Oreochromis niloticus: one gene and its partners. The protein of the gene in region 3 interacts with the protein of the main gene of each other region in a biochemical or structural test. Links are inferred from orthologs where the notes say so. Each region holds a gene or a part of one and is shown on either strand. Other genes may lie near its edges. The genes, in order: prdm2b, e2f2 and rb1.

The links.
Region 1: the proteins of rb1 (region 3) and prdm2b form a complex in vitro, tested with the Homo sapiens proteins (2 studies listed by BioGRID, with this or other methods). The link is inferred for Oreochromis niloticus from reciprocal best matches to the Homo sapiens genes RB1 and PRDM2.
Region 2: the proteins of rb1 (region 3) and e2f2 form a complex in vitro, tested with the Homo sapiens proteins (2 studies listed by BioGRID and IntAct, with this or other methods). The link is inferred for Oreochromis niloticus from reciprocal best matches to the Homo sapiens genes RB1 and E2F2.

Annotation. Positions count from the first base shown.
Region 1 is NC_031970.2:17,985,054-17,988,807, forward strand, and holds the start of prdm2b (PR domain zinc finger protein 2), read right to left. Parts: upstream 2,413-3,754; 5' UTR 2,098-2,412; intron 376-2,097; 5' UTR 373-375; coding exon 258-372; intron 1-257. UniProt on the Homo sapiens protein: S-adenosyl-L-methionine-dependent histone methyltransferase that specifically methylates 'Lys-9' of histone H3. May function as a DNA-binding transcription factor.
Region 2 is NC_031983.2:14,406,915-14,410,668, reverse strand, and holds the start of e2f2 (transcription factor E2F2), read left to right. Parts: upstream 1-1,392; 5' UTR 1,393-1,625; exon of another isoform or gene 1,626-1,816; 5' UTR 1,817-1,936; coding exon 1,937-2,212; intron 2,213-3,754. UniProt on the Homo sapiens protein: Transcription activator that binds DNA cooperatively with DP proteins through the E2 recognition site, 5'-TTTC[CG]CGC-3' found in the promoter region of a number of genes whose products are involved in cell cycle regulation or in DNA replication.
Region 3 is NC_031975.2:11,025,065-11,028,818, forward strand, and holds the start of rb1 (retinoblastoma-associated protein), read left to right. Parts: upstream 1-1,604; 5' UTR 1,605-2,013; coding exon 2,014-2,123; intron 2,124-2,588; coding exon 2,589-2,709; intron 2,710-3,754. UniProt on the Homo sapiens protein: Tumor suppressor that is a key regulator of the G1/S transition of the cell cycle. The hypophosphorylated form binds transcription regulators of the E2F family, preventing transcription of E2F-responsive genes.

The DNA of each region.
Region 1 (3,754 bases), on a different chromosome or scaffold from region 3:
GAGGCATGTTAGAAAAAAAACACTCAAAGCCTTTGACTCCGATGACTTGCACTAAGGTTCATGTTTGTTTAAGCTCTGATTCAGTTATCATTTTCAAGTTTCACTTTCTGGCCCAGCCTGGTCTCGCTTTGCCCCGCAATCATTGGTTGCTGGAAGTCTGTTTCAAGGTTATGTTGCCGTGAGATTCAAATGAAACTCAACATGTTGCCAGTCCTAACAGAAGTTGTTACAGTTATGAAATGAGACCGGCTACTCACCAATGCGGCTCTGATTTACAGCAGAAGGCCCCAGATTCAGATAGTCAGGCAAACCTTTCCACACATGAGCTGGAATTTCATTCAAAGACTCCACTGTACCTCCAGTAATAGCCATGACCTGCAATAAGTGACATGAAGCAGCACTCATTGATTGTCAAAAGCACCTGGCTCATTAAAACATCTGCAGTTATATTCAAATTGATTAAAACACTGTGGCACACTTCAATGTACGCTCTCAAACTGAATTAATCGCCAACATGTAAAATGCTGCGTTTTTACTCGTCTGTCCATAAAACTGAGATCCGATAGTAGATAAAAGCAAAACTTACAATGTCTTATTATCTATAGTGATCCATTTCCTGTTCTTGAAAAGAAACAGCTGTTCTTTTTTCTGACATGGAAGTTGCAGCATGCAAATCTGACCACAGCTAGACAGCATTTTGGAGATATTTCCTCGTCAGCTTCTGTTACAGAAGCCTCTTGTGGCTCTGAATAATTATGCAGCCATTTTTATTCCCCAGATGCATAAGCAGCTAAAAGGTTTATGCTTCAGATTCAGTAAGGCTGATTTACAGGAATTATAAAGAATAATTCTCAGCGGTATCGCGATACAGCAGTATATTGTGCATATGAAACAATCATTTACTACAGACTTCAGTCAGTGTGCAACTGAGGCAAAAAAAAAAAAAAAACACCCATGAAAAGGAAAAAAATCAGGGATTGTGTACTTGTATGTGTGTAATATTATTCCTTTTCAGTTTAATAATGTAGCTCTCAGGTTTAATTGTCAGTGCCATTTGTTATTTCCACCCCTCCAAGTTTCTTCTCCAGCACAAGCTGGTGAACTTCCATTCATTTAGTAAGCATCATCTTACTCCACTTAGAGCCTTGCAGGCAGCCGCTCTTTAACACCTTTAGTATCAGTACGCTGTGCAAGTTAACAGAAACTTTTCAAATTACACTCATAAAAAATAAAAGAGAAAAAAAGCCAAAATAATCTTTTGTTTGTTGGTTTTAGAGGGGTTTTTTTTTCCTGTCTATTAACTAATCACGGAATTAACTTTCAGCTCAGCAAATTAATCCTGTAACTATTTCCATAACAGGCACATACTGAGCTTTAAGTCTCTCGCTTTGTATCCCAACTGGCAGAAAAGCCATTTGTTAGGGACAACAATAAGCAGCTGACCCATGTGTGGCTCTGTGGACCAGGCATACGCATTATTACACTCAATCCAATAAAGAGATATAAAACCCGAGCGGTTCACTAGCAGATATTTTGACCTTAACGACTGTAACATGACATAATGATGAGGTTGCATTATCTCAGTGGCAGATAAATGGCATAGCTGAGACAATAAACCTCACTGTCTCCACTTGAGGCACTCGAGCTTGAGCTATTGATGCCCCTTTAAAATAAAGGCTAAAATGCTTAACTTTTTATTGGCCAGTCGGTGTAGATTGATTATATATTTTTTCTTTTACTACCACCGGCGTTCCTGGAGTTGTGATCAGACATGTTTAAATCCCCCCTAGCTGAAGTTCAAGCAACAAACAGCAAGAGATTTTAATTAGGGTGTGTGCGTAAAGCGCATTATAAAGCGTTTTCTCTCAGATCGTCAAAGGAAAAAAAAAGTTGATCCAAGCAAACAAAACAGACTGGAAGCCTTACACTAAAGCGCCTGAAGGATGCAGTTTATTGTTACCCTTGTAGGCAAACCGTCCGCTCCCCTTATTCTTCCCGATGCTGGCCGGGAGTAAGGTGGTTGGAGCGGTTTTTCTCCCTCAATATTTCCTGTCGTAAGGTGTTTGTTGGGTTTAGGATACTCATACGCGCACTTACCTGCTTTATTTCACCGGGAACTTGTGATTTTTGTGCTCTACCTGCTGTCAATCTGTTGAAAATGGCGGATGGAGGGAGGCTTGAGTCGAAAGCCTTTTCAGTGACTCGAATCGCGGTGTAGTGGAGTTGGGAGAGGCAGCCTCTCAGACCCGTGCTCACACACACAGCGATGGGGCAAATATAATTCTCAAGTCAGCCTGCGAGGAAGGAGGGGGGTGTTTTGGTTTTCTTTCTTTCTTTTTTGTGGACGACAAGAGCAAGGCTCCCTTGCTCGCCTCTCTTGCAAGCAGTGGTCCAAGTCCTGTCCACACTGCAGCCTAACATGAAACCATGCCAATTAAGTACCTTGCTTAGATTCATCTGTGAGCATAATGGGCCTGTAGGCTGGTACCATCTGTGCATCCATGAATAGCAGAGAGGAACTCAAAAAAAGAAGTGGAAATGCAGGCAGAAGGGTGTCAATGCGTCCTCTGTTTTTATGTATTTTTCATTTTAAGTAACGGAGCTGTTGCTTCCTTGTTGCCATATCTCTATTGCGGTTATTCTAAATCTAATAGGGCAGTATTTTAGAATTTAAATAATATACATCATTTCAAAATGAGGGAGGTATATCGGGGGTGAAATGGGATTTAGTGTTTCCAAAAGCACAAGCACGTGTTGGTTAATTTATTTTGTTAACTTATTAAGATTTTTTTTAACAGAATAATGTAGAAACAAGTTCAAATGAGAGCCGAGTGAAAACTTTTCAGTAAAAGTACTTAATCAGAATCAGAATACGTCATTAATCCCTCAGGAAAATTATGTATTGTGTGTGTATGTATTATGTATGTTAACTGAGGAAGCAAGGCCTTACAATAGCTGGTTTCATCAACATCAGTATGAATATACATATAATTATATATTGCATGATTCAGTCAGTCAGTCTGATTAAGTAAAATACAGGACAACCGTTTTTTTTTAGATTATTTAACACAATCAAAGCGCTAGATCACCATAATGCTAAATTAATAATGGAGAAAAAAGACTTATAAATTTTAAGTTTCTAATCACTCTGAGCACCACAGCAGTTCACACAAACCTGATTCCTTTATTTCGACACACATACACAAAAAAGTGGGTGGGATAAACAGCTAAAGCAAGCAACTCAGCTTAATTGTTGGAGTTCCTGTTGGGCTGTGGTGTAACCTCACAGATATAGTAAGAGTACTGGTTCCTGTCGAGCAAATTGGGTAGACGTGACATTTCTCACTACTAACAGGAAGTGCCTGTGGCCACTAGAGGCTGCTGCGATACCACATACTGGTTGTCCATGTGGAAGCTCCTGTACAAGCCTGCAGATCTGTGAACTGTGACTGTAGGAGATGGAACTGGGCTGGGGTCAGATCAGCACTTTAAATTATAAGTACTGGCTGAGTTGTAACACTTGTGATCAGATGTGTAGGAAAATTTACCACCTGTCTCTGCACAGTGCAGATGTCTCTGTCTAATTTTAACAGGAATAAAAGGTAACACCGTTCCTGCTGTTAATGATCATGAAAGCATCCATGTGGCAGCTTCTTATGGTGTGACTTCATGCCCTTATTAGTGCACATAATTGCAATGCTTTTACTTGATCACTCAGTTCACCTCAGGACACTCAGCCAGAGTTTCTATTTTA
Region 2 (3,754 bases), on a different chromosome or scaffold from region 3:
CACTCATTTAACTCCACGTGAGTTTCATAAAACAAATTCACTGTTTGATACACTGAACAAATTTTGAAACATCACAAATTTTGATGTGACAGAGAGAAACATCACTAGTGATTTTTTTTTTTTTAAAAGAAAAGAAACAAGCAACAAAGTTTAAAGTACAAAAGGTACATCACTAGAATGCTGTGAGATGTTGCATGTTATGCAGTTGGGATAAAACGTGAATCTGAATTTCCAGTATTGCTAGTTATGCAAGAACACCTACAAATTGTGCAGGATTTTGTGTGAAAGAGGAAGAAACATGAGGGTGGGGATAATATACGTTGCACTCTGTGGGCATCCAGTGCAGTAATATGTGGTGAACGAAGCAAATTTCTTTCATCTGACAATTAAGAATTATCTCCCCATCTCTAATCCAGTGTAATAAGGAGGCAACTATGTCAGCTTTTTTTCTTCACCCTCGGTTTTTTAAAGGCACAGATGCACAACAAACAATAAATTTGTTGTGCATTCAAACCACTTTCAACTTTGATTATTTCATTCAAAATGCCGTTCAGATTGAGGCCGGACAATGGGGCTGCTTTGGTGGAGAGTCTACTTTGTCTTGGCCAAGGGGGTCAAGTCATATGGCTTGGGTTTGGTTGCTGCAAGTGGGGGAGGGGGTGTTTTCTTTCAATACCTCCTCTGAACCAATAAGCAGGAGTGGTACTGAGTGAATCCAATTATCATCTATAAACTACCCCAGCAACACCTTGTAACAGGGAACAGTACACTTTGATCACATAGAATACAATAAAGCAAAATTGTCTTTATTGTTTACAAAAAACATACAGTGTATATTTAATTATATTTACAAAATAAAACTTTAAAAAAAACTTTCCAATCCTTTCTTGCCCTCTGATTTCTAATACACATATTTTATTATGTCCTAATTACCCAGAGAGCAATTCGGCACTATTTGAACATACTGTACATGATTGCGCCATTTGCAGAATCAGACTTCATTTTAATACACTGCAAATTTCATATAAACATATGAAGTTAATATTTAACCGTTTTTGTAATCTTTGACTGTCAAGGAACTGAACTGGGATGCTGTAAATGCAAGTAAGTGGTTACAAGTGGAGTTAAAAAGGCAATAAAAAGTGCTCCAACAACAATAATGCACCTCTAACGTGTGATTATAAAGTCTGGGCTGGTCATTGTCTCCATATCCAGCCTGGCAATGAAAGAACACCATGTCTCGGATGTGTGCTCCTGTCCCTTTAAGCAGATCACTCCCATAGCCGTACAACTGTTTTATGCAAATTAGACAAGCCGAACGTGCCATGAGCCAATCAGAAGCGGCTTTCAGCCGCGGGAGATCCGAATTTCGCGGGATGAAGTTTGGCGGTAAAAAGACTGCTCTGCCCCAGCTCTTGCCCCCTTGTATGGAGAGAGGAGCTCTGAGGTGGACGGACAGGAGTGGCAGACTGGGTCGGATTCAGCACCAGAGGGAGGCACAATAATTTGTTAATCTCCTGCTGGAACCGGATCTCAGTGAGACCTGGAAGCCTTGGAGAATTAAACTTTAAAGTTCTGGACGTTTGAAATAGTTTATTTATTCAGGAAGCTATTCTTTATAACTGGTAAGGCAAGTTTCCTCTACACTGATACAGGACAAAGGATAACAACACCGAACAGCCTGTTGAATGTACTAATGATAAACGTCACATTATAACATATAAGCCTGTACTGCATGTGTAATTCATGCGGCTTGAAGCTAATCCGGCAGTTTACGCTGTGAAAGTTGCTTTTGTTTTGTTTGTGTGTGTTACAGTATAGGCAGTTTATATATTCATAGAGGTCCCGCAGTAGGTGAAGCTTGCTGAGCGATTCAGTGTGCTCAAGTACAGGCACACTTCTGCCTTCGCCTCACCGGTCCGGTTCACTCAGAAAAATGATGCGGATGCCTAAAGGCGTCTCGCCGGCATCGGGTCGGCAGGCAGTGGGGCTGCCTTGCTCTCAGCAGAAGATGAAGCTTTTGTCCACCGGTGGAGTGAAGACCGACTTCTTCCTCGCCGGACTGTCCAGTCCGCAGATGAACACGGTACCGGCCGGATATTTCACCCAGATCTGCAACACCAGCGTGGCCGAACAAAGAGCCAACAGCCTGTATTCAACCCCCCATGGACCCGAGGTTAAACCGATCAGATCATCCTCCGGGCGACTGCCGGTAAATAATCACACAAATATAAGCCTGGGGTCGTGTTTCCTTATTGTATAATATTTAGCGAGGGATTTGCATATGTCCGGAGGAGGAATATTTGACTTTTTTCATTGCTATGCATGTTTGAGAAGGGCGCATTCAGATATGTTTTGACGTGATAAGCCACAGAGGGGCCACTGTGGCTGCTGCTGATGTGCGTGAATGGTGTCTTCTCTCTTTCTTTTTTTTCCTTATCCATGCCAGGCTGTGTGACATCTTCTCCCGCAGTCCAGCTGTAGCTAACACAAGGCCAGACGCCTTGTTCTGTGTTTGATGGTTTTGATGAGCCAGTGGGGGTGCTTAGAGAGAGGCCCCACTCTCTTATGCCCAAAAGACGAGTGCCCCCCCTCCTTGATGCAGCAGAGCTAGTTTTTTTTAATACAAGCAAACAATGCAGGGGCTCAACCAAGCTGGAGGAAAGACACTTAAGGCAAATTCATAGCTTCCCAACACTTGTAATGGGTGATAACACACATAACAGATGCTCCACCCTCACTTCCCATTATGTCAAAACAGGGTCTGTGTTGGACAATGGGAAGGAAGCATAGGTCAGAGGTCATAACCACAGAACAGGTGTATTTTCTGGAGTGTGAAAGTATTACTATCGGAAGCCCTAAAGCATCACAAATAAGTAAAAGATTAACCTGTTTTGTAGAACACGTACACAGTGGGCTTTAACGACGTTTAGCAATGCCGTTCATTTTAAACTCGAATGCTGAAGATTATTTGAAAATCCTGATCTGAGAAGATTGGGTGACACTCAGCAGCTTTTTAGTGCTCCACACCTGTTGTTGTTTGTTGTATTTGGTGTCTTTATTCCAGCTGACTCGTCAGCCCTGGAGTCTTTTTTTAGATTTAATGAATTGCAGTAACGCTAAAGGGGTTAGAGTGTGTACAGGGTTTTCAAATCGCATGTCAAATCCCCAGCCCTAATAGGCCCTTCAAGAGGATTAGATGGATATAAGTAAAGTGAGAAATAGGGTACCACCTGGCATATCATGTGCCAATGTGAACCTGACTGCTGTCAAAGTGTGTATGGGTTGTTGGTTTATAGAATTATTACATGCATTCACGTTTGATAACCTGGTTTTCACCTTGAAATCCAACCTTAAAGTTTGGCCACTAGAATAAGCAAGAATTCAGTTATTAAATGACAGAATTTTTATTTACACCTCAGAAAATTAATTTGTAATTGTTCGACATACTGGATGTGATGTGGTTCAGTAGGCTTTACGACACTACCCCTGTGTACGCAATCATGTCGCCTGTGTTTTTGTGCATGCACACTGTGACCACGGTAACTTCTGTTTTCAAGGGATTTGAATATTTTCAGTTGTTGCACATTGTCACAGGTGCACATTTCAATTTTACCACAAAAACAGGAGCCTGATTCAGGTTGATAGAAGTGACGGCACGGTTGAAAATACGGATGAGGTTTCAAAAAGTTCTCTGATTAAGAAACTTCCTCTGGATCACTTCAGTAAATTGGGTAAACTTAATCAAAGGGAG
Region 3 (3,754 bases):
CAGGCAGACTGGTCTCTGTTCTCCAGAAACTACTGATCTACTGGGATTTTTAGACACAAACATCTCTAGGGTTTACAGAGAACGAAAGCATGGATCCATCCTGTCTTGTTTTAATGGTTCAGCATGTAGTGGTGATGTAATGGTGTAAGGGAAATTTTCTTGGCACACTTTGAGCCCCTTAGTACCAATTAAGCAGCATTCAAGTTGTACCACAGTGTATTGCTGCTGACCTTGACCAACCCTTTATGACTACCTTAGGATAGGTTCTTCCAACAGGATGATGTGTCATATCACAAAACTAAGATAATTTCAAATTAGTTTCTTGAACATGACTGCACGTTCACTGTAGTCAAATGGCCTCCACAGTCACCAGCTCTCAATCCAATAGGGCACCTTTGATGTGGGATGTTGTGGGTGGAAGATTTGCATCGTGGCTCTGTAACAGAAAAATATGCTGCATTTGTGGGATGTTGTCATATAAATATGGTTAAAAATCTCTGAGAAATGTTTCCAGCACCTTGCTGAATCTGTGTCACAAAGTAGTAGTAGTAGTGTGCAGTACTGCAAAATTTGGTATCAATCCAATAACGAGTAAACACAGGGCCAGTATTGCAATAGATAGCAATACCAATACTTTTAACCTATAAAGACAGGCTATAAATAAAGTAGATGTGACTGTCCACACAAAAAGGTTCAGTCATTTTTCACAGTGTATGTTTGACGCATATTTTTTCATTTCCAAAAAATAACTTATATATATATTTTTTTTACACAAGTCAGTGGGTTACATACTGAACTTAACAAAGAAAGTATCAATCCTACTGCGCTAGTATCAATCCAGTACCAATACCAGCAGTGGTATCAATGCTACCAATATTTGGATCGATCAGCCCACCTCTATCACAAAGACTTAAGGCAGTTCTAAAGGCAAAAGGGGATCCAACCCTTTAGTGGCAAAGTGAACCTCATAACATGGCTGGTGAAATGTATTTCCGCATGAAAGTAGGATGCTACTAACAGACAATAGAGGTGATTGAGGGTCCTCTAACTAGGTAATATGTACTCACTGGAAAGGTTTCTTAAAAGCTTGCAGCACAAGTTATTTGTGAATTTTTGCCACGAGAGGGCAACGATTGCACACTTAGAGGTGAAGTTTTACACACTAACAGAGCTGCCAAATAAACATGTACATGTGTGCTATAATTTACACTTATCACCCGCAAGATAAAAACCAGGTGAACGGGATAATAATGGTCATCTAACTGCATTTAATGTCCTCTACCGGGAAGCCTTGACATCGTTTTTTTTTGTTTTTACATGATATTACTTTAACATATATTATTGCAGAGGCACAGCCTCCCCTCCCGAAATAGTGCAGCCTGTAAGTGCCACATAAACTAATTGAGGAACACGACAATGAGTGAATAAACGCTTCCGATATTAAGCAGAAGGTTTAAATGTTGTGGGTTGCAGGTGTATGTAAAGGGGCTATATTACTACTATTTCTGTTCCAGGCGCGTTGGAGGTCGAACAGGATGTTACGTAGACTTTTTTTCCCGCGTTTTCGAGTCCTCGGGTTGGGTTAGTTCGTTTGCGGTTTTTGTCACGTGATCCCGGCGTAACGCTACATCTGTCTGTTTGCAATGACAGACCTCTTGTCTGTGCGTGAGAAGTTATAAATCGGTTCTTTGACAGAAGTTCTGACAACACCGAGTTTAAACGGAGACTGACGATCGCAAAAACACAAATGAACAAAGTCTTGTGGACAGGTTTTTGAGCACTAACCGCCGAGTACTTGTAACACCGCTGCAGCGTCGCCAACGGCGCTTCACCGCGCAGTACGTTGATACAAAACGAGCATCCACAGATCTACAGTTGCAGGAAGTCACTGAGGTTTTGTTGTCACGGAACTCTTGAAGTGGGATTTACACTTAGTAAACAATATCAGTCGGCTTTAAAACATATTTGAGTTTTATCTATTAATTATTGGCCGTTACGTAACCGGATACCAAGATGCCACCTAAAAAACGCAATTCTGGGACGTCACAGAGCAAAGAGATGAAACCCACTGCTGAAAATGCCTCTCCAGACAAGAAGGAAAGTCCAGAGTTGTCTCTTAAGAAGTAAGAGAAGTAATGATCACCTCGCCGTCAAGTCGCAGTAGCTTCAGTTTGTGGCTTTGTAAAATAAAAAAATAAAAAAATGTTGACATTGTAGACAGATATTTTGGTCTTTCCCCCAGCTACGTTTGTCTTGCTCGCTAGCTTGTGCGACTAAACGTCAGGCTGATCTGTTAGCTGTGTCCACCGGCCTAATAACAGCGAGTTTAAAAGTATGTTTAGCCCCATACAACTGGTCAAAGAGTAACTATTCAGTAATGAATGAAATTTGAAATGTAGTCTGGGTATAGCTCTCAAACGCTGTGTTTGAGAGCTATACCCTACTATACCCTGTACCCTGCTCAGACTCTGACTGGCAGTCAGAGTACCTCATAAGACTAGACCGTTGTCTTGAGTGCAGTTGTTTTGATTTCCTGAAACCGTATTCGTGTTTTCCGTGGTTGCTAACCTCTGGTCTCCATCTTTTAGGTACGGAGACAAGGATGCTGAGTTTGTGACTCTGTGCAAGAGCCTTCATGTGACTGACCCTGTATGTGATCGAGCCTGGACGCTGTGGAAAACCGTTCAGGAGTCCGTGGATGAAGCTGCTGTACGTATTTGCACATACTGTAGTTCAGTAGTTCCACTCTACATTTATAATACTGCAGTCCTGTCGCCTGTCCTGGAAAAAGCATGAGTGGAAATCGATCATTTAAATTCCTTATCTTATACAGCAACAAATTAGAACAGTGTTTGACCCAAAGCAATACATATTGCAGGATGGAATGGTGGTGCAGTGGTTATCACTGTCACCTCACAGCAAAACAAATCCAGGCTGTATGTCCTCCTGTTTCTGGTTGGGTTCTCACTGGGGTCAGAACTGAGACACAGTCAGTTTGGTGATTCTAAACTGATTGTCTTTATGCGTTAGCCCTATGGCCTGTCAAGGGTGTTTAACTATAGCATAACCCCGCACAGTTCAGCATTATTTTATTCATTAATAACGGTTTAGTCCATATGACCCTTCTCAAGTATAGAGAAACCAGGGTGTATCCAATCTCTCCTGCAAATCAGAGCTTCTACAACAGGGGTGGGCAATTCCAGGCCCCGAGGGCCGGTGTCCCTGCAGGTTTTAGATCTCACCTTGGGTCAACACACCTGAATCACATGATTAGTTCGTTACCAGGCCTCTGGAGAACATCAGGACGTGTTGAGGAGCTAATTTAGCCATTTAAATCAGCTGTGTTGGTTCAAGGACACATGTAAAACCTGCAGGGACACCGGCCCTCGGTGCCCACCCCTGTTCTACAACACAGGTGTCGAACTCCAGGCCTCGAGGGCTGTTGTCCTGCAGGTTTTAGATGTGTCCTTGATCCAACACAGCTGATTTAAATGGCTAAATTACCTCCTTGACATGTCTTGAAGTTCTCCAGAGGCCTGGTAATGAACTTATCATTTGATTCAGGTGTGTTGACCCAGGGTGATATCTAAAACCTGCAGGACACTGGCCCTTGAGGCCTGGAGTTCGACACCTGTGTTCTACAACATTGTTGAAAGAGATCCAAAAAGAAGACAAGAAAAGGAAAGTCCACAAACATGGCAAATCACAAGCTGTGGGAAGAAGACAACACAAAGTTAGTGATAGGCATGTAAAT